4 linked regions of the Mus musculus genome follow. The protein of the gene in region 3 interacts with the protein of the main gene of each other region in a biochemical or structural test. Links are inferred from orthologs where the notes say so. Each region holds a gene or a part of one and is shown on either strand. Other genes may lie near its edges. The genes, in order: Map2k4, Mapk8, Map3k1 and Ikbkb.

The links.
Region 1: of the proteins of Map3k1 (region 3) and Map2k4, one has a biochemical effect on the other in vitro, tested with the Homo sapiens proteins (7 studies listed by BioGRID and IntAct, with this or other methods). The link is inferred for Mus musculus from reciprocal best matches to the Homo sapiens genes MAP3K1 and MAP2K4.
Region 2: of the proteins of Map3k1 (region 3) and Mapk8, one has a biochemical effect on the other in vitro, tested with the Homo sapiens proteins (3 studies listed by BioGRID, with this or other methods). The link is inferred for Mus musculus from reciprocal best matches to the Homo sapiens genes MAP3K1 and MAPK8.
Region 4: of the proteins of Map3k1 (region 3) and Ikbkb, one has a biochemical effect on the other in vitro, tested with the Homo sapiens proteins (3 studies listed by BioGRID and IntAct). The link is inferred for Mus musculus from reciprocal best matches to the Homo sapiens genes MAP3K1 and IKBKB.

Annotation. Positions count from the first base shown.
Region 1 is NC_000077.6:65,783,555-65,791,661, forward strand, and holds the start of Map2k4 (dual specificity mitogen-activated protein kinase kinase 4), read right to left. Parts: upstream 4,806-8,107; 5' UTR 4,691-4,805; coding exon 4,582-4,690; intron 1-4,581. UniProt on the Homo sapiens protein: Dual specificity protein kinase which acts as an essential component of the MAP kinase signal transduction pathway. Essential component of the stress-activated protein kinase/c-Jun N-terminal kinase (SAP/JNK) signaling pathway.
Region 2 is NC_000080.6:33,389,990-33,397,435, forward strand, and holds part of Mapk8 (mitogen-activated protein kinase 8), read right to left. Parts: intron 3,119-7,446; coding exon 2,953-3,118; intron 756-2,952; coding exon 684-755; intron 325-683; coding exon of another isoform or gene 253-324; intron 1-252. UniProt on the Homo sapiens protein: Serine/threonine-protein kinase involved in various processes such as cell proliferation, differentiation, migration, transformation and programmed cell death.
Region 3 is NC_000079.6:111,804,963-111,812,898, forward strand, and holds the start of Map3k1 (mitogen-activated protein kinase kinase kinase 1), read right to left. Parts: upstream 4,032-7,936; 5' UTR 4,008-4,031; coding exon 3,541-4,007; intron 3,104-3,540; exon of another isoform or gene 1-3,103. UniProt on the Homo sapiens protein: Component of a protein kinase signal transduction cascade. Activates the ERK and JNK kinase pathways by phosphorylation of MAP2K1 and MAP2K4. May phosphorylate the MAPK8/JNK1 kinase.
Region 4 is NC_000074.6:22,670,833-22,678,278, forward strand, and holds part of Ikbkb (inhibitor of nuclear factor kappa-B kinase subunit beta), read right to left. Parts: intron 4,239-7,446; coding exon 4,131-4,238; intron 2,661-4,130; coding exon 2,531-2,660; intron 1,686-2,530; coding exon 1,491-1,685; intron 914-1,490; coding exon 799-913; intron 1-798.

The sequences.
Region 1 (8,107 bases), on a different chromosome or scaffold from region 3:
CCAGTCTCCTTAAGGCTTTATAATAAATTCAATGTATCATATTTTAAGAATCTTTTAAATTCACTACATATTAAATGACCAGCCGCTAAAACAGGTAAATATCATTTCTAATAATCTTTACATTTCATAGTATTTTATGATATAAGACATTTCACATGCACTAATGTGATTTTTAAAACAGTCTCTATATAAGCTATGTATCTTCTCTTTTAATAGATGAGAAATTATGGGAAATTATAAAAAATCTGGTCTTTTCCCAAGGGTGCAGAGTGTGCAAAAGGCACACTCTAAACCTTGGTTTTTCCTAGTGTAAATGCAGCATCCTTTCAACTTTGAACTCTTGTTCCTAAGGCATTGCTCTATGCAGAGGTAAAGCCACTAGCACAGAAGAAATCAGCATGCAGTGTTTTCATTGCTGAAGTTGCTCAACTCTCAGCTGGAACGCTTTCTTCCCCAGAATATTTGCTATTCTCTAACATGCCCATGGTGACTTTATGGAACATTAGGTCTTCGACTTATACCCAGCTCACCTGAGATTGAGCACCTGATATGCTTTCACTAACTTGGCTAAATTCGTGGGCTTTTTCAAGATACCACTAGAAAGTCTCTACCATACCATGCAAGAAACCTCAGTTAAATTTATCTGTGATGACAAATTATCAATGAAGTGGTTTTTCAAACTCTTAATTATTGGGGAAATAATGTTTTCAATTTCTAACTAAATATTAAGAATTAAGGACAATTTAATAATAGCTCATTTGAATATTTTTTCTTACTCAAAAGAAGGCATATCCTAATGTCTAATATATTTTTATAATACTATTTACCCAACTTGCAAGCAGATCTACATTTTGATAGTTTTACTCACCAAATAATCAAAGGAAGAATGGGGGTGGGGATGGGAGAGCATATTCAGCTTGTAAATGTTTATACGTCTCTATATGGACATGAGGAAGTTCAAAAACAAAGTGAGTCAGAATGAATGAAAGCTCAAACATATGAGTAATAGCAAAATCAGCTACTATTCTCTATTAGCTGAGACTCTGTGGGAAGAATGCTTTAACAATAGCCAAATAAGAAGTACAACTGCTCTGTGAAAATGTAACGAAATGAACAAATGATGACTGTTAAGAAGCCAAAGCTGCTATAATTCCCATTCCAGCTACCCACATCCCACAGCCTATTTACAACTACAAGAGTACCTCAAACACAACAAACAGCATTATCATCATTTGAGAATCCCTGATCCAGAAAACAAGGTTTTAAGAGTTTGAAGTTGAACAAACTCTTCTCTGGAATTCTAAAAATTGGGTCCCTTAGTAGTGAAAAATAGTGACATCAACAGGTTAGAAGTGTCCAACCCACACACAATAAAGTCTAGAAAGGAAATGTGTAAGTTGGTCACAAGAGGCTAGGGACACAGGGGTAAAGAAACAGGGTCCAGTGGAAATAACAGATGAGAATGTTGATGGCCAACATGCATGGCATCTTCACGGTATGCCAGGTCCCATGCTTTGTGTACATTATCCTTGTACCTGTGGGATACGCACTATTCTTACTTTCCAAGTAAGAAACAGATGTTTAGAGAGGCTAAACACTATACTCACAAAAACCTTGAGTCCTGGTTGAGTTGGGATGAGGATGACCAAGGTTCTGGCCATTGAGCATTACAATATAATGGAAATAATGTTTCCAACTTTGTATCACAGTTGGGTCACAGATGTCAAGCTGTGCAAAGTACCTATCCTCCTGGATATCAGTCAATGACTGCTGAACTCTAACCCTGTCCTACTCCTGAATCTGCTGGTCAGTAAGACCTGACCATGAACAACTCCAAGAAAGGCAGTCTTTTGGATAGCAAGATTATGAAATGGGAGGCAGCCTGGAAAACACAGGAAGAAGTCATCTCAAAAAGAATAAATAAAAATAAATCCGAAGAAAAACACTGGTAGGGCTGGAGAGATGGCTCAGCGGTTAAGAACACTGACTGCTCTTCCAGAGGTCCTGAGTTCAATTCCTAGCAACCACATGGTGGTTCACAACCATCTGTAATGAGGTCCGATGCCCTCTTCTGGTATGTCTGAAAAGCAGCAGTGTACTCACATACACAAAATGAATAAATCTTTAAAAAAAAATGATGATGATGTGAAGAAGAAAAAAAAGACACCAGTAAAAAAAAGGGGGGGGGGAGGGGTAGTTTAGCTCAAACCTAGAAAAAAATAATTTGCTACTTAAACTCAAGTTTGCTAATTCAGATTATGCTACACAGCACCTTAAACATTTCAAGCATTTCTTTATTCTGAGCAATCAAAACAAGTTCAAAACACAGGATATAACTATCATGTTCCTGCCTCAAGGAAAGATATATCAGTATATATCAGTAAAGATAAAAACAAAAACAAAACAGGGTCTCAAGAAGTGGCTCAGGGCTTAAGAACACTAGTTGCTTTTGCAAGGGAGCCAGGTTTGATTTCCAGCACCCACTTGGTAGCTCAGAGCCATCTGCAAAGCCAGCCCCAGGGGTTTGATGACATCTTCTGACCTTTCCAGCACCAACCATGTGGTGTTCATACATACATACATACATGCAAAACACCCCCCTCTTCCCCTCTCCGCACCCCCACCACCTCTCTCTGGTAGGTCTTTTAAAAATTCAGCAATAATTCTAAGACAGTTTAGGGCCCCTTTAAGTAGAGTTCCAGATATCAAAAAGCAGAGATGGACAGTAAACATCAGAATTCCTGACCATGTGACTCAGAGTTCCTAGATGGTCTGCCCTCTTCACTGTTCTCATTGCCTAGGCCCCATCTCTGTTCTTTCCAGATAGGCTTTCTCTGTCATCTTATCAAGGAGATGGCCCTGTAATCTTCTATCACAAAACCCAGCCCGTTGCCTTCATTTTTCTTAAGCCATTTCTTGTTTACCTCCATGTCTTCCCTCCTGCATCCTCAAAGGGACATGCTCCATCAGAGGTGAGACAGCTAGGTTCACTAGTCTCTACACACTCAAAAGGGAGCTCTACGCTGGCTCTAAGCAGCTCCATCAGAGGTGAGACACTGGGTTCACTAGTCTCTACACACTCAAAAGGGAGCTCTACGCTGGCTCTAAGCAGCTGCTCAAGATTTTCTGAACAAGAAAAAAAAATGTATACAGATTTTTCAAACGGTCAGCCACGTCTCTCAAAACACACACACACATACACACACACCTGAAATATATTCATTGTTTTACTGAGTTATTTATTGTGTATTCAAGGGTAGAGGTCAGAGGACAACTTGAGAAAATCAGTTCTCTCCTGCCATGTATATCCCAGGGATTGAGCTCAAATCAGGCTCTGTCTCTACCCTTAAAATATTTAAACTTTAAGTCACCCACTGTGGACAGGGCAAAAGAGATGAGAACCCCAAATTATCTTAACAAACAGTAAAGGTGTGAGATGAAGAAAATCCATCTTGTATTTTGTATGGAGCATAGCAGGCATCCAATAACTAACTAAATTTGAATTAATTAGCTTAGGACCTGTACAGAATATATCTTCTGAATGAAATGCTCAATCTGTTTATATACTATCCCATAAATGTTTCTTATGGGAAGGGATGTAAATACAGATCGTATTTCTGCTGCCCAAATCATGGTATGCTGGCATAAACACGAAATTTTCAACATATAATCTGTTGAACTTCATTAGACACAAGGAGCGCTTTATGAAGAGTTGGTATCATACTGATACCAAAGATATCCAAACGACTCTAATAATTCAACATAAGTCGTTTGCTAAAGTTGTCAAGAGATTTCTGGGCTTGCCTGTGTCAATCCCCCCAATAAACCTAAGAAATGGACTCGGGCCTGTTATTTTCACAACACCCCCTGTCAAATCCCACACAGAGCTCCTAAGGCCTCCCGGTGAGGAAAGGCCATTACAGGGGAGCTGCCTCAGATGCCCAGACATGATCACTTTGACCTCTGCCATTCGGTTTCCTGAATCTCTCTCCCTTTCAGCCCAACTCGGTCTTCTATTTTTATCTGATTTTTCTTTTCTGCATGCGAGGATAAGACACATCTCGGGCCTGGGTCGAAACGCCTCTCCGGGGCCAATGGCTGTCTCCCCACCTTACAGGTGGCCCAGGGCCTCGCAACCCCCCGCCCCTCCCACGCAGACACCCTGCAAAGTTTTGGGGACGGGGGGACAGCGCAGTGGCCCTATTCCAGCGGCGCACCGTGAAGCGCAAGATGGCCCTGAGCCGGCCCCACTGCAGCGCGCGGGGGCGGCGGGGCCGAGGGCCGGGACGCGGCCGACCTGCGAGCCAGAGGCCCGGCCGCGCGCGTTCCCGGAGCCAGCGGGCGCCAGGTGAGCCGCGGGCGGGGGCGGCCAGGTGGGCCGGAGCGGGCAGAGCCAGAGCCGCCACAGCGTTCACCGAAACCCGGCCCGGGGCGGGGATCCCGGGGCGAGGCCGGGCCCGAGACGCGGAGCTCGGGCGGCTTCCTCAGACAGCCCCGGGGACGCAGCGGCTCCACAGGCCGCGGCTCGGCCGAGCGCCTCGCGAGGGGGCCCCGGGGTCTCTGCGCGCCCACCGTCCTTACCCTGCATGCTGCTGACCGCCGGGTGGCCAGAAGCTGGAGGTCCGATGGGCCCCGGGGTGCCGCCACCGCCCCCGGAGCCGCCGCCGCCGCTCGGGCTCGGAGCCGCCATTGTTGGAAGTGAAGAGCCGAGCGGCGCCGCGGCGGCTGCAATGCAGCAAGCTCGGCCTCTCGCTCCGCTGAGGGCGCGGCGTGCGCCGCCTTGGCCACGCCCCGGGCACGCCTCCGTCACGCCCCCGGGCACACCCCCACTAGCACTGACGCGCAGCCTGCAATACAGGTTGAGCTGCAGCGCCCAGCACTGAGGGCAGGGCCTGAAGTCCTGGATCAGGGTGACTCTCAACCTACCACTCAGGGACCCATAGTGGCTTGCAGAATCAGAAATATATGTGCATTGAGAAAAGGGAAAGACTTACAGCCCCAAAGCTTTAGAACTCCCTTCTCTGAACCTCAGAACCCAAAATCAGAACACGTAGAGTTCTACGAGATCTCAGAAGTCACGCTTCCTGTCCAGTCTCTGATCCATCACTGCAGAAGAGATGACAATAACTGTGGTCTCAACCCAGAGCTCTCTGTTCTGCTGGGGACTAACAGGAGTATTTCACTGACAAAAAAAAAAAAAAAAAAGTATCAGAACCCGAAAGAAAAAGTTCCGGTGTAGGCTTTTCAGTCCAGAATCCATGCCAAATATTTTGTTAATTTATTCTGTGTGGGAAGAAGACAGCAAACAGCAAAAGGTGAGGCTGTGATGGCCTTCAAACGCATCTCTTTTTCAAGCGCAGATCAGAAGGTGGCTTTCTTTGAAGGAAGTTATATTTTAGTTCCAGAAGAAGAATCAAAGAGCATAAAGCTGTCCGTGACGACACATGCCTTTAATCCCAGTGCTTAGGAGGCAGATCTCTCTAAGTTTTCAGTCAACCTGGTTTATGGATGGGTTCCAGAATCTTCTCTAAAAATGGTTTTAAGGATGAAAAACATCAAATAAAATACTTCTTCCAAAACAAATCGCCATTTTAGGAAACATGGGTGGACGCAAAAGAAAAAAAAAACAATATAATATAGTTGCGTTTTTATTTTTATTTTTTATTTTTAGCTTGGGCACTTTAACACCCAGGGGAAAGGCATCAAAGGTTCCATAATTTGCTAGCAATAAAACAAGAATCAGATCCTGTCACTACCAGACTCTGACCCCAGTGTGTCATGGCATTTGACTTGTCAGGAAAGTTTCCCAGCCGGCTCTAGTATCACTATGGTGTGTGAGTGTGGTGTGTGAGTGTCATTTCCACAGTTCCTTGGGGGCTGAAGCAATGCAAAGAAATAGCTTAGAGGAATTTGAATTTCCCTCTTTCCGTAAGCTTCATGAGCGTCCCAATCTCAGTCTTTGGTGTAAATAATAAATATCTCACAGTCTTAGGGAAAGTGCTTTTGTAAATCTCTCACCCCACTTCCAACAAGTTTATAGTTATTTAATAATGTATATTATATTATAATTATATGCATTATTTATATAGTATATAGTATATATTATAAAATATATATTATAAAATATGTATTATACTAGTTATATATATTACAAAATATATAATATGATATATACTTGTATAATATGTTATTATATTACATTATATTTTTTATATATTGTGCATATATATATGTATATATATATATGCACCAATCTCTTAAAGACATCACTGGAGTTTGAATGAATGCTAGAAGATGCATATATTATTGTTTCCAATATTCCCTTAGAAGGTGTATAGGTCATATAAAAGGACTTTAATCAGACTAGGGAAACATTGACCCACCATAGTTAAATGAACATGAAAGAGACAGCAAGTAACAAAGAAACCTGGGGAAAACACTCAACCCAGCAAGTTCATGAAGGTAAGGGTGTGTTCCTGGGGTGTGAACCAGCCAAGCAATTTGTCTAATGTTGGGCTTGTGATAAAGCTGGCCTGGATTTGCATCGCTGTTGGTATTGTAAACTAATAGATAAGGACTGAGAACAAGAACCTCTCATTAAGTCTACAGGTGGGCAGAAACAAGACAGGACTTGGGCTTGTTAAAGCTGATGAAGCTGTGTGCATGCCTTTTGCTTGTTCTTGTGTCCCTATTTTTCTTGTAAGTTTCTGTGTTGTGTTTATTATAGACTGAGTTGGATTCCTCAGAACTTGTTTGTTGAAGTCCTGAGCCCTGGCATTGTGACAAGGGCTGTGTTTGAAGATGGTAGGGTCTTTAAGGAGGTTGGTAAGATAGAAGAGGTCATTGGGGGACCGCTAGCCCACTCACTTGGTGTTCCTAGCGTGAGATGGTGCGTGGACACATAGGGAACGATCCACATGAGGAAACTGGAACATGGGGATCGACGAGCCAAGAAGAGAAACCACTTTGGCCACATCTTGATCTCAGAGCTATGAGCAAACAAATTCCTGTTGCTTGAGCTATCTGCCTGTGGTGCTTTGTTATGGCAGCTACAGCACACTAACATTGTATGTGGCTTTTAAAAATGAATATCTCGAAGGGAGCTTGGAATTTGGGGTAATAATAGTAGTAGCTAGCATAATTTGGGGGGAGAAAGGGAGGACAATTAGACAATGTGTATTAAACCCCAGAAACATCCTGTTTATAAATCAGTGTACCGGATCTCTGCATGGGCCTGGCAGTCTAGACTCTGCTGTGCAACCAGAGGACTGGAGAAGCACTAACACCACTGTCTAGAGTAATGTGGAGTGAGAGCAAGCTGCCTTGGAAGACGCTGCAGAGAAAGAGTCATGTTTGCCTAGCCGGTGATTAGGGAACCTCAGTGGCAAAATCTAGCTTGCTGCTTCTCTATGATTCATGTCTCAGTGGTTAGATTAAGAGTAGAGTTTTCAGGGGCCAGAGATATAACTTAGCAGTGGAAAGCATTAGTTTTTCTTACAAAAATCCTGAGTTTGATTCCCAGCACCAGCGTGGTGCCTCAGAACCATCTGTAGTAGAATCTGACACCCTCTTCTGACCTCTGCTTGCCCCAACCATGCACGTGCTACAAACACATAGGTGCAGGCAAAACACTCATACACAGGAAATAAAATAAATTTTAAACTTTGTAATTTAAAAAAAGAGTACATTTTCACTTTATATCCCAAATGAAATAAAAGTAATTTACAAATGGATTTCACCTTCGGACCCCAATTTCCAAATCTGGAAAAGTAAGAAGAGTAATAGCCCCACCACCACTGCCACCACTGCCACCACTGCCACCACTGCCACCACTGCCACCACTGCCACCACTGCCACCACTGCCACCACTGCCACCACTGCCACCACCGCCACCACCGCCACCACTGCCACCACCGCCACCACCGCCACCACCGCCACCACCGCCACCACTGCCACCACCGCCACCACCGCCACCACCGCCACCACTGCCACCACTGCCACCACTGCCACCACTGCCACCACTGCCACCACTGCCACCACTGCCACCACTGCCACCACTGCCACCACTGCCACCACTGCCATGTGGCTAACAGAGCCAACAGATATT
Region 2 (7,446 bases), on a different chromosome or scaffold from region 3:
AGCCGTAACTTTTTATGTTAATTAACTCTAAGCAAGCAAGGACCTATGAATTAACCACACTTGAGACCTTTTCAAAATTAACATATAAATCAATAAACGAGGAGAAGAAAGTCAGGTAAGAGGTGGTACTCTGGAAAAGTAATTTAACAATACTTTGTATCAGGAAGAGACAAAATACATTCTACTTGACCAGGCTGACACAGTACCATTTTGACCTTTAGAAACTACATTTTAGGCCAAAGATAAGGATACGATCTGTACCTGGGAACAAAACACCACCTTTGATCATTTCTCCCATGATGCACCCAACTGACCAAATGTCAACTGAAAACAAAATGCAATGACATTAACATAAAGATTTTGGTTAAAATAAAAAGAAAAATATATAAACACTAAAAAGACACACACCATATACACTTAAAATTATAAAAAGCAATATAAAATAAAAATGAATGACGGTGAATGTGCTGACGACCAGCAGAGACTGTATGTCCTGCTGCCAAATGCAGCCTACTAACACTTAAGCTTCTTAGCTCAACCAGTTTTTGAACTATAACAGTCACAAACTTTACATCTATTTTAAAACCTGTACTGTACAAATGTAGCATGTATTTCTTTTCATGAGCAAACAGAAGGAAGTTCATCACCTAGCTAATTAATCTGCTGCAGCAGCACAAGGATACAGTCCCTTCCTGGAAAGAGGATTTTGTGGCAAACCATTTCTCCCATAATGCACCCCACAGACCATAAGTCCACTATATGTTTGCAGCACAAAAGAAGAAAAAGCAAAGCAAAAGATTGTTAAAATCAAAGAAGCGTAATATGACTGCATCATCTAAAAAATTGCAGAACATCACAAAAAGAAAAAGGTGGTTTTAATTTCAAATAATGGCATAATTTAAAACACAAAATACTTTTCAAAAAGCTTTGATTCACAAAAGAAAATATGAAGTATGGCATTTTAATTACATGTCTAATTTTAAAGTGAGAGCTATGCACAGATACTGCATAAATTTAAAAAACATACATTCTATAACTGAGATTTTGCATGTAATATATGAAGTAGAACCAAACAAAATTTAAAAATAAGATTTAAAATGTATATAAGGCCATAAAATTATAAAATTAAGATGTACTATTTTGAGGTTTAACTGTGCATTTTACTCTCTCTTTAAGTTAAATTAACAAGCATGAGCAGAAATAATTTAGCATATTAAAAACAGAAAGATATCTGCATTTTAATAAAATAGTAACCTAATGTTTTTTTCAGAAAATTATCACCTGGGTTTCCCAGGCTTATTTAACTGAAAAGGCTTTGTTTATTCTGAACTAAAAGTAACGTATTCTCTTGGCAACACCACTTTACATTTATATCCACCTCGACCCATGTCTACAAATGGACAGAAAAAGAACAGCATTATCTACCAAGAAACCTTGATAAACAAGTGTTTTTCATTATCTCTTTTTTACTTTTTTTTTTTTTTTTAAACTTTGGGTTTAAAAGTTAGTTTCGGTGGAATACAATATCAAAGTGTCAAAGAGCCTACAGATCTGTGATCTACAGTCTCTTGGCAGACCTCCATATTATAAAACCTGCTATAAGGGGTCTAATTTGCTATCAGGCCGTTTAAAATAGATTAATTACCCCCCAAATTTCCCAAACTGTCCTGAAATACTCTGCAATAAAACCAAACAGGAAAACTCTCTTTCTACCCCCCTCCCCTGTGTGTGTGTGTCTGAGAGGAAGATATGTATATGCCACCTCCTGCTGGCTAATAGTTATGAGTGAGGAAACACGAGATTTGACTTGGTTCCTGGGGAAACAGGCAGGAAAAGCAATGAGAGATCTAAGTGACTCTCATCTAAGAGAGGACAGACAACATGTCAATTTTTATGACAGCTTCTCTAATGTCAAGATCATATTTATAGAACTTAACATGTGGTGCAATTTCTGTGATAATCAAAAGTTTCACAGCAAAAGCAATAGCAATCTGCCTATCAATTCTCAAAACAAAACTTTTAAACCTTATGTTGAGACTTAGAAACAGAAAAGCATGTTTAGTTTAAAAACCGATAGTTGATATGTAAAGTATTTGTTTTAAATTAGCTCAAAAAAGGTAAGGAAATTAAGCAATCTCCCCAATTTCACTGGTATCATATACATGTGCTTAAGTATGTATATATGTATGTTCAAGATTGACTTAATAGTTTCCTGATTTAAAGTGAACCACTGTTCCAATTTCCATCCTAGAAACACGCCACACTTAAAAAGTTATGGTTTGATTCAACCTATCCACAGATAATACTATATGCAATCTCTTTATGACGGGGCACAGGCTTTAATCAAACACGAGTGCTTCCATACGAGGCTGAGTTACCCACTAACTTTCCAGAATTGGAAAATGTAGCTCTCAGAGTTTATAGTGAGTGCTACTATTTTTTGCTTGTTTGTTTGTTTTATATTATTCTGTTTTGTTTTCTGAGACAGGGTTTCTCTGTGTAACAGTCCTGGCTGTCCTAGAACCTGCTTTGTAGACCACAGAAATCATATGCCTCTGCCTCCAGAGTGCTGGGACTAAAAGTGTGTGCCACCACACCCGGCTTGTGAGCGCTACTGTTAACACTGACTAAAGGTGCTGGAGATGAGAGCAAATAAGACTAATATATACTAGAATTATTACTAAGATTAAATCATTGAGAAATATATATTTATGTTTAAATTACAGACAAGCAGAGGGCATAAATCCTAGTTTTAGAACTCTTCATCTAGGTATTCCCATTTGAGATAAGATTCTCATGCTTTCCCAAACATTCACGGCAAAACGTTCAAATCCTGGATAGACATTTGAAGTAGTAATGAATACTTAAATGCATGCATTTCAATTACAGTATTTAAAAACTGATTGATAAACAAAACCAGAAGACTATTTCAAAGCGAAAGTGTATGCTGACCGTTCTCCTTGTAGCCCATGCCGAGAATGACCTCTGGTGCTCTGTAGTAGCGAGTCACCACATAAGGCGTCATCATAAAACTCGTTCCTGCAGTCCTCGCCAGTCCAAAATCAAGAATCTTCAAAGTGCAGTCTGATTTGACTACTATATTACTAGGCTTTAAGTCCTTGAAGAAATAAACATTAAAATGATTGCTAAGACAGACACACAGATTTGTTTTGCTCAACTGAGTTACATAGTCTGCAGGACCACTGCAGAGGTTCCTTACCATAGGCAAACCCACCAAGTCAGATTTAAGATCATTTCATTTGCATAAACAAAGCCAGTACATTATTAATGCTTATTTACTTAAAAACAAAAATGTATTAAAATTTTATTTTCTATTTTGTTTTACTTCTTTTATTTATCTCTATGAAGATGAGGAGAGCCTGGTCGAGGACAAAGCAGAAAGGCTGGAAGTTCAATACACACAGTGTATGTTTAGTTCTTTGTTAAGTTGACACAAGCTAGAGTCATGTAAGAAGAGGAAACAACAGCTGAGAAACTTCCTCTACCAGAATGGCCTGTAGACAACTCTGTGGGTTGTTTTCTTAACTAATAATTGATGTGGGATGATCTAACCCATAGATGGTGCCATTCCTGGGTAGGTGGTCCTGGCTGTCTAAGAAAACAGGCCAAGATAACCCAGGAACAAGCCAGTAAACAGCACTCCTCCATGGCATCGGCTTCAAGTTCTAATCCAGGTTCTAGCCTGACTTTCCTCAGAGATGAACTGTTACATGAAACTGTAAGATGAAATAAGCCCTTTCTTCCTGAGGTTGTTTTTGGTCAGTTTTTTTGCCACAGCAATCAAAAATGATGACACACAGCAAGACCCCATCTCAAAATACCAATCAAAAACAAAAAAGTGCTATTATGGTAAGAATCATAAATTAGCATGTACATTCATTTACATACTAAATTAATAGCACTAAAAAATCTCATTTTAGGACTGGAGAGGTGGCTCAGTGGTTAAGAGCAAGCAGACTGCTCTTCCACAGGTCCTGAGTTCAGTTCCCAGCAACCACATGGTTGCTCATAACCATCTGTAATGGGATCAGATGCCCTCTTTTAGTGTGTCTGAGGACAGCTACAGTGTACTCACTAACATTAAAAAATAAAAAAACTCATTCTAAAGTCACAATAAACTTTAAAACGCTCTAAATCCACCATGGAGCATTCTGATAATATTTACACAATCCTGACACGATCCAGGTATATGTTACTTGAACAATGATAGCCATACATGTTCACTTTTGTGGGGAGGAAAGTTTGGAATCAGTCTCAATACACTAGATACTCAGTTCTAAAGAACCAAAAAGTGATTATCAGTCTGCCCATTCCTGACTTCCCACATATATCACAAACATTTGCTTATAAACTTCCGTTCACATGTAACAGACACTAGTCCATAAAATTACTTTCTTCTGATAGTAATACTGTCTTTGTGAAAAACTGCTGCCTGGCTCGAGGTAGAAGAAAATGTGTGCAATACCTATTAAAACGAAGACAGTGGCATAAATACCCAGGCCTTCACATTCATCATGCTCTTGCCTTTTAGCTTTGATGAACACTCATATCCACAGCACAAACTCTCTCACATGTACAGATGACTAGCAGATTAACAGCAAAAGCTAAGGCCCTTAACACAAAGATCCCTTTTTAAATATCTACATGCAAGAATGCTTATGTGCTGTTTCTAACTTACTCTGACAAGGTAACATGGATAGGCTTAGAAAACAGACACTAACCGGTAGTCCTAAGAATACCCAAGATATAAGATACAATTTGCGAAACACATGAAACTCAAGAAGAACGAAGACCAAAGTGTGGACACTTTGCCTCTTCTTAGAATTGGGAACAAAACATCCATGGAAGGAGTTACAGAGACAAAGTTTGGAGCTGAGACGAAAGGATGGGCCATCTAGAGACTGCCATATCTGGGGATCCATCCCATAATCAGCTTCCAAACGCTGACACCATTGCATACACTAGCAAGATTTTGCTGTAAGGACCCAGATATAGCTGTCTCTTGTGAGACTATGCCGGGGCCTAGCAAACACAGAAGTGGATTCTCACAGTCAGCTATTGGATGGATCACAGGGCCCCTAATGGAGGAGCTAGAGAAAGTATCCAAGGAGCTAAAGGGATCTGCAACCCTATAGGTGGAACAACAATATGAACTAACTAGTACCCCTCGGAGCTCGTGTCTCTAGCTGCATATGTATCAGAAGATGGCCTGGTCAGCCATCGGTGGAAAGAGAGGCCCATTGGTCATGCAAACTTTATCTGCCTCAGTACAGGGGAACGCCAGGGCCAAGAAGTGGGAGTGGGTGGGTAGGGGAGTGTGTGTGTGGGAGGGTATGGGGGACTTTTGGGATAGCACTGGAAATGTAAATGAAGAAAATACCTAATTAAAAAAAATATATAAAGAAAACAGACACTAAGGCCTTTTGAAATTAAGCATACTAAGACTACACGTTATTCCCACAGAAGATAAAAATGTTATCATTTCTATTCTGCAAATAGAATGTTGGTAATATAAAACAAAGGAATACCCATGCTGAAGAATAACCACTATAAACTCAGTAGTCCTCCCAGGATTGTTGCTACAGCTGGAGATTACTGCCTCTTTATACTAGGTGGTCTAGTCTAGAAAAAAACTCAAAATACTTTTTGTTCTGAAATGATTAGGGGCAAATACATTTCTAGTTTAAAAGAAACTGTGTATGGAAATAAACTGCCAAGAGTATTTGTCTCTATGAATATTAACTAAAGTTCATTTTTTTCTGTATCAATGTTTATCTTTCTACATATGTCATAACTACTTATAGGAAGAGTGACTTGGAGTTTACTTGGAGTTGAGCAGATAGAGTAGAAATAACTCAACATTCTAACCCACCCTCTCCTTCCCCCCATTGTCCAAGCCTCTCTCTCTAGTCAGGCAAGATAGCAAAAGTAGACCTAGTAGGTAGAGTGGGAACAGAGTGGAGAAGGGCCAGAACATGACCTCCTGCAGATCTTCCCTTGCTTTGGTGATTAGTAACATTGTAGATAGTGGGCATCTCTATAAATCCAAATGTCTACCCCTACCATGATGTGCCTACATACAGAATGTGAAAAATAAACCTTAGTCATATTTGGCTACTGAGAGTTTGATATCTGCTTTTGCAGTGGTGGCGCATACTTTTGATCCCAGTATTTGAGAGGCAGTGGATCTCTGAGTTTAAGCCAGCCTGGTCTACAGAGTTCCTGTACTGTCAGAGATACACGGAGAAACCCTGCTTTGAAAACCAAAAAACAAAATAAGAGTTTGATATTTTTTATTGTAGCTAAGCCTAGTGTTTTCTGGCTGAATCCCAAGACTTGGGAGTTACTATTATCCCTAATCTGAAATCTGAAAGGCCCAAATTTAAGTATTTTTGGTTTTTTAGTATAACTGTCAATACTCAAAAGGCTGTTATAACTACTTTGATATTTATGCTAAGGAAAACTTTAAGGTAGTCTCAAATCAGTCCAAGAATACAGGGGCCATCATGACAGTTCTTTGATTTGGATCCCCCCCAAATTTCTGATTTTCAGATTAGGGATGCTCACTATAAGTCTATGCAAATATCTAAAATCTAAAATATTTCACAGTTTGAAATACTCTGGCCCCAAGCATTTCAGATCAGACAACCTATGCAAGGACACAGGATCATGAGTTTGGTTATTTAACAGTATTGACAGCAGTATCAAAGTGGAAAGTGATCCAAATTATGCAGAGGTAAACTATTTTATGTCATCTGCACAGGACTTCAACTGATTGCTTTTGCAAAGGAAGTTTAATGCAAACTTAACCATAGTCATTTTTACCCCATGTTATCTACAGTTGATATTATGATAGAAGGGCAGTAGTTGTCAGTAGTTGTGTCAGAGGCCATGTCCACAAACAAAAAACATTCAGAATATGGACTTTACATAATTCCTTAACCCTTGCTCTATAAGAGGTCAGAAAGCAAAAAAGGCTGCTGGTGGCTACTGTCTGCATTAGAAGTAACTGGTTACTTTAAAACTAGAAATGAAAGTAACAGTGCCATCATTTTGGATAAGCAAAATGCTGCTAGACCCAGAAAAAGGCAACAGATGGTTTAGCTTAACATCCTTTTACATGCCTGTCCTTATGACCTGTTTCAGTTAATGGAACTCAAAATTACATGATGCTCACCAGATCTGAAAAATTCTGAACCTGCTCGAGGTAGCATAGTTTCTATTCTTCTACTTCATAGCATGGGAAAAGGATGTCCCTGGAAGTAACACTGAACCTGACCTGAGGTCTGTAGTAATGCTGCATGGGCCAACACTGTAGACCCTGAGTACACACTGTGCTTTTGTAAGCCATGAATAGCTTGTTAGAAATCATGGACATCTTGGAAGCCTGGAAGCTTGAAGGTAGACTCAGGAGTTTCAAGTAAG
Region 3 (7,936 bases):
TTTTTCAGCAACTGTAACTTTTCACTAAAGATACAGAAAGGCCAGGGCCAAGGAAGACGGCCAGTCTAAAGGATGCATGTGACACCCGTGATACAAACAAATCATCCTACGTTGAAAAGTGCAGGCACGGGGTCAGCAGTGCCCGCCATGGACCAAGACCTTCCCATTCACGCTTTCCCACTTCCTTTAACACAGCTTTCCCCTCAGCTCAGGGAAGCGCCCCGAGTGCAGAATGCAGAGGCAATACTAACTGCATTTTGGAACATCCCTCAGATTTCCTCAGAATAATCCATTCTCCCTGACGACTTCTTCCTTTGGAATTGGCCAGCAGGGTCAAGGACAGGGTAGCAGACTCCTCCTAGGCAAACTGTAGCCTCTCTCTCTCTCTCTCTCTCTCTCTCTCTCTCTCTCCCCCTTCCTCTGCACATTTTGCAAGCTTCAGGCCCACACGTCAGTGACCATTTCCACAACATGCAACACTTGGAGAGGAACAGAAGCATCAATCAATGGGGCTCCTTCCTGTTTGCCTATCTCACAAAATGGAGTCATTATAGTGTATTGGAAATCACATATTAAGGAATGTTGGTTAACCAGTCACTCTTGCCAAGATCAGATATGAAGAGAAAACAAAAGCTGGCAACCACTCTAGCTCTGATATTTCTCTTCCAGAATCCTATTTAATAAGGTTAATCTTTTAAAAATACAGTAGTTTCCTTACCCAGTTTAAAACAAAACCTGGAGAGAAACCCTAAGTCCCAGAGCTCAGGAATTCACTCAGGGCTAACTTCCGGGGCTACATCTATGATGTTAGAGAATCACCAACTCACAGTTTGAAAGGACTTATTTTTAGGTTTATTATTAATGTTTTTATGCCTTCCCTCTAGCAAATGATCAGTGAGTGGTATTTTTAGCTTAACAGCTTCTAAAAGGAAGTGAAACTGAGGCCCGAGCAGCAGAGGTGGCTTATGAAATATCGCTAGTTTTAAACGAGGCTAACACTAACAGGCCCAGCATAGCTTGCTCTTTCACGGGGCAGCAAAGTGATTGATAGTTTGGTTGAAACTACAAAAATAGGACAGAGTAATTATATCTGCCAACCTCACAACAGCCTGTTCAATGCAGAGCAGCACTGTAATTTTTCTTCAAAGACAGTCACTAGGAAGGAAAAGCCCCCTATTCTGTGGCATAAGGGAAAAAAAAAAATCCCAAACCCTTGGGCGCCACTTACAGGACAAACTTTCACTGGCTTGAGTTATTTTACTGAAGGAGAGAGGGCAGACATACATGCAATCTTTGACTTTAATGAATTTCCCATAGCTTATCTTTTTATAAATGTGTATTTTCTAAACATTCAATTTCTACATCCAACGTTTAGAAACTGGATTAAAAAAAACAAAAAACAAACAAACAAAAAAAAAAAACAAAAGAAAAATACGTTAGGTCTTTAGACATGCAGAGGGGTCTTTGGCTCTCTACTACTACTGAAAACAAACCGAAAATATCAGCATTAGATCTTCCTCTTCAAAGCATGAACGTGCGCTACTTGAAAAGGGAACCACATTGTTCAACTGAGATTCTACATGCCGTATAATCATTTCCCCGAGATTTTAAATGAGAAAATAATAAAACATCACAACAGGAAACCCAAAACACAACAACATTTCTGGATAACCCCTTCTTCATGATATAAGTTTTAGACCCGCAGATTTGAAATGAATTTCAAACCAGTTACAAAAACTGGAGGCGGGGTGTGTGTGTGTGTGGGGGGGGGGGGTGTTAGTATTATTTCAAAAGGATTGACAATCGATATTTTACAGCAAATGAAACTATCACATATAACATTTGAGGTGCACCAACAGAATTCTAGCTAGCAGTATTTATTTTAAAGACAGCTTTTACAATTATAAGCCACTGCTTAAAGAGATAAAGAGAGAGAGAGAAGAATGCGCAAAAATCAAGCAGATTACTCAGGTATTCAATTCTACCTGCCCTCACCTTGGTCCTCTGATTTCTAGAGGCAACACTAAAGTTCTATATGTCATTTTTGCAGTTGCTGCTCATGGTATATTCATAGGTGGTTATATTGACTTTATAAATGCTTAAGTGTGGCCAACTGTATTATCATATAGAAAAAAAAATCAGGTCTCACAGGACTAGATAAAATTAATTCCTCAAAGTTTGAGTTACTGTTTTTTCTTTCATCTGTAGTTGATCTGTAGTAAGAGTTGCCACCTAAGAATTATTCTGGTTAGTTTTAATCTAATCTGCACAGAAACAGGAAACCCTAGAGGAAGATACGTGTACAAGTGCACACAGGGCACACACACAGAAAAGCTGCATCGGGGCTGCTTACTGCCTACCTTCCTCCCAATCCTGCCACAGCCAGGGGTCAACACACTTTTTACTACTGGGCTTGGGGGTTGGGAGGAGGGAAAACGACCTCCAAGTAATAAACGGACCGTGATTTTAAACAATCCAGAGCACAAAAGGGGGTCAAATTACTTAGATAACTAACCGAAACCAAGGATTCCTACTGTCAGATTCGACACACAATAAAACACTCTCCACCCACAGTAAACGTCAAGAAATTCTACGGGGGGCCACAGGGTGACGATGACGAAAACATATCCAGCAACTTCACACATCCATCAAGATTTTATGCTTTTGTGTATTTTCATCAGATTTTTTTTTTAAGTATCATATACTTAAAAGAATTTCCTCTAACAGAAAACTTTCCAGTAGCCAAAACAGGGCGAGGCCAAAGAGCCGTTGGTGTAAACTATCTTACGCACATCCTACTTCTGGTGCACCGGAAGACCCCTGCGAGCAAAGCGGCAGCCCCGCACCGTCCCTGTCCCCGCCACGCAGCGGGGCTGCGGGGCGCAGTCCCCACAGCTTTGAAGCTGAATGGCTGACACATCCGGTCCTGGATCCCACAGCATTCCGCCAAAAGCTAACTTCAAAGCCGGATTCAAACTCCCAGCACCGGGCGCTCTAGCCCCCGAGGTGCGGGAGGAATTCCCAAGGACACGCAGCGAGGGCAGCCACGGAGTCCCCGCAGACCCGGCCGCCCCGCGAGCCCGCAGCGTCCGCCTGCGTCGCTTTGACAGGCGCCCCCCCCCCCCGCAGTCCCCGGAATCCCCCGGCCGCCCGGGGCGCGCCGCCGGAGCCCGGCCCGGTACCTGCCCGCGGGCGCGCGTCCCCGTGGGGCCGAGGGGCTCTAGGCTGTCACAGCGCGCAGACCCACCGCCGTCACCTTCGCGCTCCGAGCCCCCCAAACTCACTTCGCGCCGCGGGGGCTCTCAGGACCCGGCCCGGGGAGCCCCGCACCTTCGCGGCTTCCACGCCTGTCACATGTCCGCAAACAATAACAAACTCTCCCGCACGTTCCCGTCCCGTCCCCACGCCGTCCCGGGCGCCGCCCGACCTTCAGGGCTCGGGGACGCGGGCTCCCCCCCCACCCCCAACGAGCGGAGCCCCGGGAGCAGCGCGCCCCGCTCGCTTCATTCATTGCCCGCCCGGCCCCGGCCCGCCGCTCACCCGGAGGGGGCCGCTGCAGAGGGCGGCTCGGCCCCCGCGGGGCTCCGGGCGCCGCTGTCCCGCGCGGCCGCCAGCTCGGCAGAGTGGGAGCCGCAGCGACTCGCCGCTCCCGGGGGTGGCGGTCCCGCCGCGGGCTGGAAGCGACTCGCTCCTGCAGCCGCGTCCGCGGGCTCCGGCGACGGGGAAGTAGATGGGCAGGGCGGCGAGGCGGCGGCGAGGAAGAGCGGCTGCTCCGGCAGCTGGTCCAGCTCCACACTCCGCACTTTGCGCAGCTGCCGCCGCCGCCAGTCCGCGCGCTCGCGGCCCGCGCTGCCAGGCTCCCGCAGCAGCCCCGCCGCGCCCGCTGCGGGCGCGCCGCTTCCCTGGAGAGCTCCTCCTCCTCCGCCGCCGCCGCCCGCCTCGGGACTCGCCGCCGCGGCGCCCGGGAATCCCGACGACGAGGCGCGATCGCCCGCCGCCGCCGCCATTTTCTCTCGCGGGCTACATTCGCTCGTGCCTGCGGGGGAGGGAGGGGGCGGGGAGAGCGCGGGGGGCGGGCGGAGCGGCGGGCGGGTGGGCGGGCGCGCGCTGCTGCCGAGGGCGCGGGCGCGGGCGCGAGCGGGGCCGCGCCTCCCGGCCGGGGCCCGGGAGCGCGGAGCGGCGGGCGGGCGCGCGGCGCAGGTGGGAGGGCAGGGGCAATGCGGGGAACCGGGCGCCGGGCGTTGTGCGCTGCAACCAGGCCGCCGCCAGGTAGTGCGAGACCGGGCGGGGCAGCGGCTCGGCGGGAGCTCGCCCACCCTTGAGCAAGCAGTAATCCGAGCGTGAGTCCCTGGTTCTGGAAGGGGACGCAAGCCGGAGGACTCACGGTCTGTCACTTCACGCGTTTAGTAGCGGTTGCTGGGGGGGCCCCCGCGCGCACCGGCCCGGCCCGCGCCCGAAGCGCAGGTGGCGCCCCGGGACTGTCGCCTGCCGCAGACGGGCGGACGCGAAGCCTTCTCTTAGGAAAGCAGACCTCTTGTCCCGCCCTCGTGTCACAAATAACACTACTTAAGATTTCTTGCGCTACCTTGTGCACCTCTGAAGCTGCTGGTTTGGGACACCCTCCCCCCCACTCCCCCGGCTACGCAGAGGGACCAACCCGGGTACTCTGCCAGAGGTTACTCCCCCGTCTTGGAAAGGCAGGCTCCAACCGAAAGCGGGAGAGCACGTCTGGGGAAGGAGCCAGCGCTATGCCAGGAAGCGCTGGATCATGCCATCTTCTACCAGGTCTCTCCCCACCCCCAACAGATGCTCCCAGCTGCACGTCCCTCTTCCTGGCAGTCAGGTGACAGGCCGGTTCCCGGGTCCCCCACCTCCCTCCCGCCGCCGCTCCCTGGTTGCCCTGTGCGGCGTCCCTCGCCTTTCTCCTGCCCCAGAGTCTAGAAAATGTGCTGGAGATAGAAAAGCAGTATACGTATATGGGATTTCCCCCCTTCGACCCTTTTTCAACGGGATAAAGCTGCCTTGTCGTCCCTATCTCACCCGCCTCTGCCACTTTTTTTTCCCCTAGCCACTTTGTCTAGAATAGACAATCTCTCAGAACCCAGGATTTCTAGATTTATTTTGTGAAACATTAAGACATGAGGCGTGGGGGGAGGGGTAAGAAGGGTTTTCATCTTACAGAGAAAGGAAAGATCTCTCCAGCATTTAGACAAAAGCCTGAACTAGCTCAAAATAATTCATTTAACCTCTCCAAAGTAGATCAAATGAAGCCCTCCTTAGGTGTGTAATGTCAGCCAGAGAGCAAGGTGAGGCAAAAGGGATTTTTAAAAAGGGATCCTGACTTCAGCTTGAGCTCGGTGTTATACTTACTGCTATAACATCTGGCACGCTACAGTTCTCAATGGTTACATTAAAAGGTACACGTTTTGAAAGTTTAGATTAGTCTGTTCAAGATTTAGGTCTACATTTAGGCTATAATTATATGCTCTTTTAATGGTAGACAAGCATAACATCCAAACCAAACAGTAGTTATTTCCCAGGTCTTCCTAGATTGCCACACCCACCAAATCCTAAATTGAAAAGGATTAGCTTTTCTGGTTTCTACTGAGATCTAAAATAAACTTTAAATTGGCGCACTCGTACTTAGGTACCTGTGAGAAAAGCCACTGCGGACCCTCAGCCTTTGTTTCCATCTTTGGACCAGGTTTGGAAGTTTGGCCTGAATAGCAAAGTAAAAAAGAAAAAGAAAAAGAAAAAGAAAAAAGAAAAAAGAAAAAAGGAACTCCGGCAAAAGGTGACTTTTGTCTCTTTATTTGTACAGTGTTTGAACTGTTTGAAGATGAGGGTGGGCATCAAATGAAGCACAAATTGACTAACTGCAGTTCTCTGGCCTCCATAGGCCACATCAGTCTATGAAGACTATGAAGACTAAGTGCTATCTCTCCCCAGTAGTTTCTCCTGATTTGAATCCCATTCCCTTTCATCTTTTATGGACATAGTCTGCTGTCATTATGCACCTATACCTGGACACACGTTTTTCTTTCAGAGATAAGTAATAAAAGGACCAGATTGGCTAAGGAAGTCTGCTCTCTATGTTAATATAACGTCTCCTTTGAATGCAGTTACCTGGGTAGGTCCCTCCCCAACTTTGTGAGCCATAAGTATGATTAAGTGTGGCCCTCCTCACCACACACCCAACCCAACCCCACGCCACCTTGATCTTTGGAGCTGTTTGAATACTGTGATGTATTTCTGCGGAAGCACGTGTCAGATGGCAGACTGCTATAGGCTCTCCATTGCCTTAATTTGATTCCGTTTCCCCTCTTTTCTCCACAGCTATGATTTTCATCTTCGCTCAGACTTAAACATAGCCGTGATTTCCAGTACACACTTGCAGTTTCAGGAGCTTTTTACCAGAAAGTACTTTTACCAGAGCTTTCCAGGTCACGGCTCCCACAGAGGGCTGCCGGGAATGGCCTAAGTCACACTTGAGCTGCTACACCAAGTTCATTTGGAGGATAAACACAGGGCATTTCCTCATTGGGCAAAAATATCACGATGTTAAAATGAAAAAGCCGTATGTGCTGGCAGGGTATTTCAGCTTATAAGGCATTCCGTTCGCAGCTACTGAGCAATTCCTTTGCACACACAAGATGTTTTATTCCTCTCAAATTGTTTAAATAATTTTAATATTTGTTATTAATTAATAACGGTTATTAATTATTAATATCAGTATATAATGAATATTCTTAATAATTATCTTAACCACATTGACTACTTTAACGGAATAGAATGCTTTCACCTGCAAATACTTTTACCAGTGGGTATTTTATTGGGCTGGCTGACATATTTTCAGACCCATGGGTATTAAATTTAATAAATTTCCCGCCTAACATGGTGGCGCATGCCTTTAGTCCCAGCGCTCCAGAGGCATAGGCAAGTGGATCTCTGGTTATTAGATTAATACAGTATGAGTATGAGTGAAAATTGGAAGTTTTTCCAACGAGAACTGAACTAAGGCTTCAAAGGATGAAAGAGGACAAGACATGGAAAGTGTTCTCTGTCAGATCAGGCATGGCTATGATCATTAAATAAGGTGAGGAAGAGGGTGTCCCTCTTTAGACAATTAGACAAATTTACTTTGAAAGTATCTATGTTTGCTAGCTTGGGTGACAATGCCACTTTCAGGCAGGGTCAGTGAGAAGGACACATGGAAGTATAAGTGGAAGTCCTACATGCAAAGAAACAAGGCCCTATCACCAAATCCCAACCCCAACCCTGCATTTTTGATTCCGGTTCTCCTCTTTTCTCCACAGCTACGATTTCCATCCTCAATTGGACTTAAACATAGCAGTGATTTCCTGTACACGCTTGCAGTTTCAGGAGCTTTTTACCAGAAAGTAACTTTTATCAGAGCTTTCCAGGTCATGGAAAGGAGGTTTTAAATTTAAGGGTAAAGTGGAAATTTATTAATTTTCCCCCCAAGGTCTAGGGTCTCATTGGGTAGGTAGTTCAGGCTATCCTGAAATTCACTATTCAGATCAGACTTGCCTCAAACTCAGAGATCTACCTGCCTCTGCCTCTGCCTCTGCCTCTGCCTTTGCCTCTGCCTCTGCCTCTGCCTCTGCCTCTGCAGCACTGGAACTAAAGGCATGGGCCACTGTGTTAGGCTGGAAATTTATTAAATTTAATCATTCCTCTTAGCAAAATTTTATTCTTTCTAACCTGCCTTGAATCTTCAAATCATTTGAATGAGCAACATTGGTGATTTGTTTGTTGGTTTTGTGAGACGGGGCCTTGATTGATAACCCAGGGTGGGTTCAAATTTCTCAACCTTCTATCCTCCTCCTTCTATGTGCTGGAATCACAGGCATGCGTCATCATGCCTTGTGGTTACCTTTTTTTTTTCTTGCACAACTTGAGGTCAAAAATATGA
Region 4 (7,446 bases), on a different chromosome or scaffold from region 3:
CTCAACGGTGACAAATAAGTTAATTAAGCAAGTACTTTAACATGAAGCCTGAAACCAGAAATACTAGAGATATTTAAATCATCAAGAAGCCTGGGAGATCTCGGAGACATTAGCTCTTTGGTCTGTTTACTCCAAGTATGTATCTGAGAGAAAGGGGGCTGAGAACGGGGCTAGGTTAGTAAGATGTTCACCAAACAAACATGCAGTGGAGCACCATGCAGCCCTCCAACATGAGGGAGAGGAAATGAGCGACTTGGGTGAGGAGGGACACACAGAACAGTGCATGTCTGTGTCATCGTGGTCTCTTTGAGGGGGATACCCAAGCACTTGGAAGCAGTAGTTCTACAGAAGGCAAGCCTCCTGGCTGGGGACTAGAGCCCGAGTGTTCACTTTGCCTTATGTATTCTTTTTTGGGTATCTTTTGAGGCTTTGTGTTGTTTTTGTATCATGTACCTATGTTAATGTCATTCTTGTTTATAAGCAGAGCCTCATGTAGCCCAGGCTGGTCTCGAACATCCTATGTGGCTGAGCTCCTGACCCCTCTTGCTTTTACCCTCCAATGCACATTAGTTATTGAAATATAAATGCAACCTCAAAAATGAACCACAGAAGTAGGTGGTATTTCTTAACCCTGTGCCTACCTCTAGTGAGAGGCAGTTAACCAGTACTTTGCCTGGACTATTCTCTGCACATTCCAAGTAAAGGAGGCTTTATATACTCAGAACCAAACAACCAGGAGCTCCTCCAACTTTACCCTAAATATCGCAACTGATGGGTTTTAATAAATGATGCACTTACGGATACAGCTGACACTTTCCGGTTGGGGTCGGGGGGTGATCTGAGTCTCATAGTTGATTTTACTGTTGTCAAAGAGAAAAACAAGATCCATGTCCAACGTGAGGCCCTCGTTTGTCTGCAGAGGGACAAGAAAACAATGAGACCTGGGGATCCCACCCTTCCTTTCCGGCTACTTGGTCTTAAAGCAGTTCCACTTGCACGTGGAGGGCAGCATCGTAGCCTAAGAAGCACGCGTGACTCAGCCTGCTTTCTCTCCTACCCTTTTTATCTGAACCTGCCCCTGCCTTACATCATGTTCTAGTTTACTCTGCTTGCTTCTCCTGTGACCTGAACACATCACACTTCCCTGTGCAGAGGCTGTAGCCTCCATAACTACTCCACACCTTGGGGCAGACACCATGTCACACATCGATGGCCTTAGCACAGGTGCCTGACTAGAAGAGCAAAACATGATTTTGGCAATGGAAGCACAAGAAAATATTCGTGGTCTGGAAGTGACAAACTGAGTATGGAATGATTGGTGTCTTTTAGCGACCCACCTGGGACTCCTGACCCATCAAGCAGTTTGTACACGGTGTCACTGTATACAATTGTCATAGTGAGAGTAGTAATGTGGAATGCTGACAGTGTTCTAGGAGACCACATCTGAGGGAAACAGGGCAAGCAGGGCGCAGGAAGAAGTCAGGACTCACCTTGCTGTCTGAGATGCACTGAGTAGCAGGCTTGTCAGGGAGCAGCACCAGCCCTGCCTCTTGCAGCAGCTCCTGGTCTGTCTCCAGGATCCCCGTGTCTTCCTGGATTCTGGTTTTTAAGCTCTGCAGACTCTCATCCTCCGTCACGGGGTATGTGTGAACGGTGCCTGTGACCATGTTCAAGACATGAACCAGCTGCAACACAACCCAGATGTTACTGGGAAGAAATTTTCTTAACATTTATTTACATTGTGTGTTTGTATGCTGTAGTGGTTTGAATATGCTTGGCCCAGAGAGTGACACTATTTGGAGGTGTGGCCTTGATGGAGTAGGTGTGTCTCTGTGGGTGTGGGCTTTAACACCCTCATCCTAGCAGCCAGGAAGCCAATCTTCTCCTGTTTGCCTTTGGATGAAGATGTAGAACTCTCAGCTTCTCCTGCACCATGCCTGTCTGGACACTACCATGTTCCTGCCTTGATGATAATGAACTGAAGCTCTGAACCTGTAAGCCAGCCCCAATTAAATGTTCTTGTAAGAGTTGCCTTGGTCATGGTGTCTGTTCACAGCAGTAAACCCTGACTAAGACACTTGCATATTAGGAGGGGGGAGCACGTGCGCACACCACACCACGTGTGTGGAGATCAGACGACAGTTGGAAAGAGTTGGTTCTCTTTTCCATTAGGTAGATTGTCAGGCTTGGCCACAAGTATTTTTACCTGATGAGCTATCTCACTATCCCAAAAATCAAAATTCTTTACAAAAGGCTCATGGATTTGCCAAGACCCTTTGCTACCCCCAACCCATACTTGCTGGTAAAGGGCTAGTTTAAGTCCCATTTTTCCTCAACGGCAAGATGTCAAAACATGTCAGTCATCTCAATTTTCCTGTCCTCTTTTTAGCCCAAAGAGTCAGAGGAACCTGAATTTCTTCACAAGGCCAAGTGGCCCACGATCTGATATGTCTCCCTTCCTTGGAAAGACTGCTGTGCTCCACTGGGGACCACAGCTGCTGCCTCGGGGCTGCTTGGGCTCTGCTCTAACCTTCAAGTTCAAGATGTCATCCAGGGCTCTGAAGCAGCCGTTGGGGCCATACTGGGGATCCGTGCCCCTTTGCCGAGGGTGCCACATAAGCATCAGCTGCAGCCACTTCTCCAGCCGTTCAGCCAAGACACTAAGGGAGCAAAGGGAAGAGAGGCCTGAGCCGGCCTGCCGCAGTGTGCAAATCCCGAAGCACACACAGCCTTCCTTGGCTGATAGCTCAGCTCGAGTGAGGTGCTTGCTGTGCACACATGAGAACCTAAGTTCCATCCCAGAGTCCACATAAGAAATGCTTCTATCAGATGAGTGGATCCTTGAGGGGTCAGCCAGCTCAGCCTACTTGCTGAATTCCAGACCTGAGAGAGAGACTCTGCCTTGAAAAGGAGAAGGTGTGGAGCGACGGAAGAGAGCCAAGGTTGTCTTCCATAGCACACATACACCTGCACACACTGAAAGTGACCCTGACACTTTGATAAGGCTTGTGAGAGCTGGGTGGGGTGCTTGCCTGGTTCCGTGGTTTCCTGATCAGCACCATGTCTCTGTGTGTACATATGTGTAAACACACATATGAAGAAAATATGAAAAAATTAGGCCAAGATTTCTTTGTGTAAACGAATCACATACATTTCATTAATCTCATTAGTATGTAAGTTTAATATATGAATATTTTAACTTAATATTTGTCTTTAATAAAATTTAATATTTGCCTTTAAACAGTATGATTAAACCAAATGATTCTTTTAAAATATATGATTTATTATCAGTAGATGCTTGACTTATATACTTTATGTATCTACATATCTGGGGTATTATAAACATTTCTTGGGCACAAAGGGATCCCAGCTGCTGGCTGTCCTGGAATTCACTCTGTAGACTAGGCTGGCCTCGAACTCACAGAGATCCACCTGCCTCTGCCTCCCCAGTGCCTCCCCAAGTTCCAGGGTATCCTGGTCTACAGAGTGAATTCCAGGCCATTCAGGGCTACACAGAGAAACTTTGTCTCAAAAAATCAAATCCAAACCAAAGAAAACAAAACAAAAAAACAAAACAAAAAAGCCACCAATCAAAACCAAAGCCAGGGACTTCATCTCCACCATAGAAAAAAACCAACCAATCAACCAACTACCCAATCAACCACCCACCTAACCACCCACCCGCCCACTCATCCACCTGACCAACTACCTACCCAAGCAAGCAAGCAAGCAAGCTAGCAACCAACCAACCAATCAAACAAACAAATAAACAATTTTTAAAAAGACTCCTAGGAAGATGAGATATGGAAACCCATCCTATGTCTAATGTTGAGATAGACTGGTCCAAATTCTCAATCACAGGATGGTGTTCTGATATCTATTCAAAAGTTATGCATGGGCCTGGAGATGGCTCAGTGCTTAAGAGCTAGGGTTGGTTCCCAACACCCACACGGCAGTTCACAGTCATCTCTAACTCCAGTTCCAGAGATCTGACTATTCCTCTGGCTTCCACAGGCACCAGTCACTCAAACGTATAAAATTAAAGTAAAAAAGAGTCAGCTGTTATCTCAAACCTGTAGCTCTAAACAGAGGCGAAGAAGATCTATAAGACTGATGCCCCACGGCCTTACCTGTTAAGATTATTGGGGAAGGGTAGCGAACTTGAAAACTTCACTGCTCCATTCAAGTCTTCACTAACAACGATGTCCACTTCGCTCTTCTGCCGGACTTTGGAGTGCCTGTAGGTGTCATTTTAAGATGTCCTTTATGTCACTCAGTGGCAAGTACCCGGTTTACACGTGTAATGTCACTTCACGACTATTCTTTTGGAAAACGGTGGGCAGCATGCTGCTAGGATGCTTCTCTGAGTGTTTGTGAGTGGTCGGCACTGTGGTTAGGGGCTTAGCTCTAAGCATTGAGTTCAGCAGGAGTGTTTGTGAGTGGTCGGCACTGTGTTTAGGGGCTTAGCTCAGTGCACTGAGTCCAGCAGGAGGCCTCTCGTCCTAAGTCTCCAGGAGGCACCGTTGACCTCTGTGTGGAGGACTGAATAGAGACAACCTAAGTCTGAGTAGTGCTGCATGGGCGACCAAGTGCTCTTGGCCATGTCTCTAATTTCCTCTGCACCTCAGTTGTCAGGGACCAACTTCCATTTGAAAACAGTCATTTTCAATTGCACTTAGGTGTGTGTAGAAGGATATATGTCTCCTGTGGGCTGCCTGCCTGATGCAGGTGCTAGGAACCAAACCGAGGTCCTCTGGATGAACAGCAAGTGTTCCTAACCGCCAAGCCATGTCCCCAGGACAGCTCTCATGTTTGGATAGAGGACAATTTGGGGGTTCTGAACCACGGTCATTGTGTATACATCACATTTATTTGAAATGTAAAATAAGCACACATGTACTTTACTTTTATTTAAAAATGACATTTATTTATTTGTGTGTGTATGTGTGCACATATGTGTTCATGCACATGCATGCACACACTTGCCACATGGCATGCATCTCAGAGGACAGCTTAAGGGAACTGGTTTTCATTCCACCACTAGGGCTCCAGAGACAGAGCTCAGGGGACAAGTGCCTTTACCCACTTAGCTACCAAGCAGGCCCACACTTCCCTTTAAAAGTATATGGCTAACTTTTTTTTTGTTTGTTTGTTTTTGTTTTTTTAGAATAAATGAGCCTTTACATTTTCTAACGTAGGGGCATTCCTAAAGTATTTAAAGTACTTTTGGAAGGGGAAAAAAATTAAGTCCAAGTGGTTTCCAACCTTCTTGGAAACGAGGCCAACTTAAATTTGAATAATGCGTCATGAATGACCAAGTACTCTGCCAAAGTTCCTTTGGTTTCGGGGATGACCCCATGTGGTGAAATTATTTTTAGTCTGAGTGCGTGTTGTCCAATGTTAGAGACACTACAGAGTGACAGAACAAAGGGCTCAAAATTTGATATAATTTCTAGTATCTAAAAGTGCAAATATATCCTTCCCCTAAAAGGGGTCATTCATATTAAAAACAAAATGCGTTAGCCTTAAACAATTACAGTTGGCAGACAGTGGGTGCTCTATCCAGGGCAGGCAGGAAGTATGGAAGGTGCCGTCTGCATGGCAAAGGTGCTGGCATTCAGCTTAGGGGGGGAACTGATGGCGGAGGTCAGGGTCTCTGTGGCTTCTAACTTACACAGCTGCTTCTATAGAGCACAGTCTCCTAGCAGGAGACCCAATGGCTGCATAGAGCAACACATGCACTGCTTGACTGCATGTCTTGTCATTTGAGCGATGAAAATGTCACCAAACATTGGAAACCCAGGAGAAGGTCTTCTCATAACTAGTCCACAGAACGATTCCTACGAGGCTCCAGTGAACTTGGCATCTTGAAGCCAAGTAAGGGTGGTTTTAGGGGAAAGATCTCACAGACAACAGACAAAAATGTGGAGATGCCAGGCCATTAAAGGTGTTTTCAGTTCTATACAGACTAACTTATTTTGTTATGAGCAGAGAAAAGTTCAACATTTGTGATGTTTTCCTCCGTTATGGAGACGGAGCCCACCAATTTGGAAAAGTTGATGTTCGAACTGAAGACAAAACAACCAATCTCTTGGTTAGCTGAAATCAGTACATTACGAACAATTTAGAGCTATTTTATTTTCTGGTTACATTATAATGTGTGACTATGAACTATGTACCTAATTCTCCCATATCTCAGAAACCACGGGCTTGAAAGAGCAAAGCCTTGTGGGTAAGCAGTAGGACAGTGGGCTTTCCAGAGAACACTCTCTGCCTCTGTACTGACTGAGTGTGGGTTTAACTGTGGAGGTGGTCTCTGCTGCTACCACCCAAACCTTTCTTCTAGAACTGACTTCAAAGGCCAGGCTTCATTTCTCACTAGAAATATTTTCATGGGGATGTGGCTCGGATGGTCCAGTGTTTGCCTTAGCATGCAAGAAAGTTCTGGGTTCCATCCCCAGCACTGAATAAAACTGGGTGTGATAGAACATGCCTGTAATTCCAGCTTCTGGGAGCTGGAGGCAGCAGGGCCAGAAGTCACTGTCATCTTCTACCATATAGTTTTTCTTGGAGTAAATACTTGTCTTGTTCTTTTTAAAGGAAGACATTGCTGTTGAGACTGGCACAGGGAAAAGGTCAGATCGGTGCACTCCTGCAGAAGCATGTCTTTGTACAACCGCTTCTGGCAGGTGGCATAAGATACATCAAAGCCTTTAAACTGTGTGTGCTCTTTAAAAGCCTCTTAGTTCTATTTATACAAATGTATGAATAACTAGACAAATAGCTACATCTGAACAACGGCTTTACAGGGATGCTATTTGTGGTGTTTGTTTTGTTTTGTTTTGTTTTGTTTTTTAAGAAGCACAATTATAAACCACTCAGTCTTCTGGCCAAGAACTACACCACAGTGACTGAGTAGAAGAGCAGAGACCTCCCAGAGCCCAGGAAGACACGCAGCATGTTCAGTGTGAGCAGAGAAGCAGGTTATATCAAAGGGCATATAAGAAGATGGGCAGAACTGATGTTCAGTGATTGTTTACAGATCATCTGGCTATAGCTGATTATTTTCTATGTAAAAGAAAAAGTTTCTAATTTTAGAATACATGGTACCGAGTTCTGGACTTTTCATTATTTCTATATCTTCCAAAATACTACAGAATTAATGTGGGGCAAACTGCACAGCACATGTAGATTCCAGGGAAAGCGTGTGCGTGTGTGCGTGAGCGTGTGTGTGTGTGTGTGTGTGTGTGTGTGTGTGTGTGTGCTGTAAATAAACTGCTCTGAAGGAAATTCTGCTGTCAACTGCTCTCAAGGTCCACGCAGAACAGTGCTCAGTTACACCACTGGAGCAGAGAAGATGTCACCACACAGACAGACAAGCACAACCCGCCGAGAAGGATACAAGCATCCCTAAAGCACCCAAGCCAGTGGCTGTCATGGCCTCTG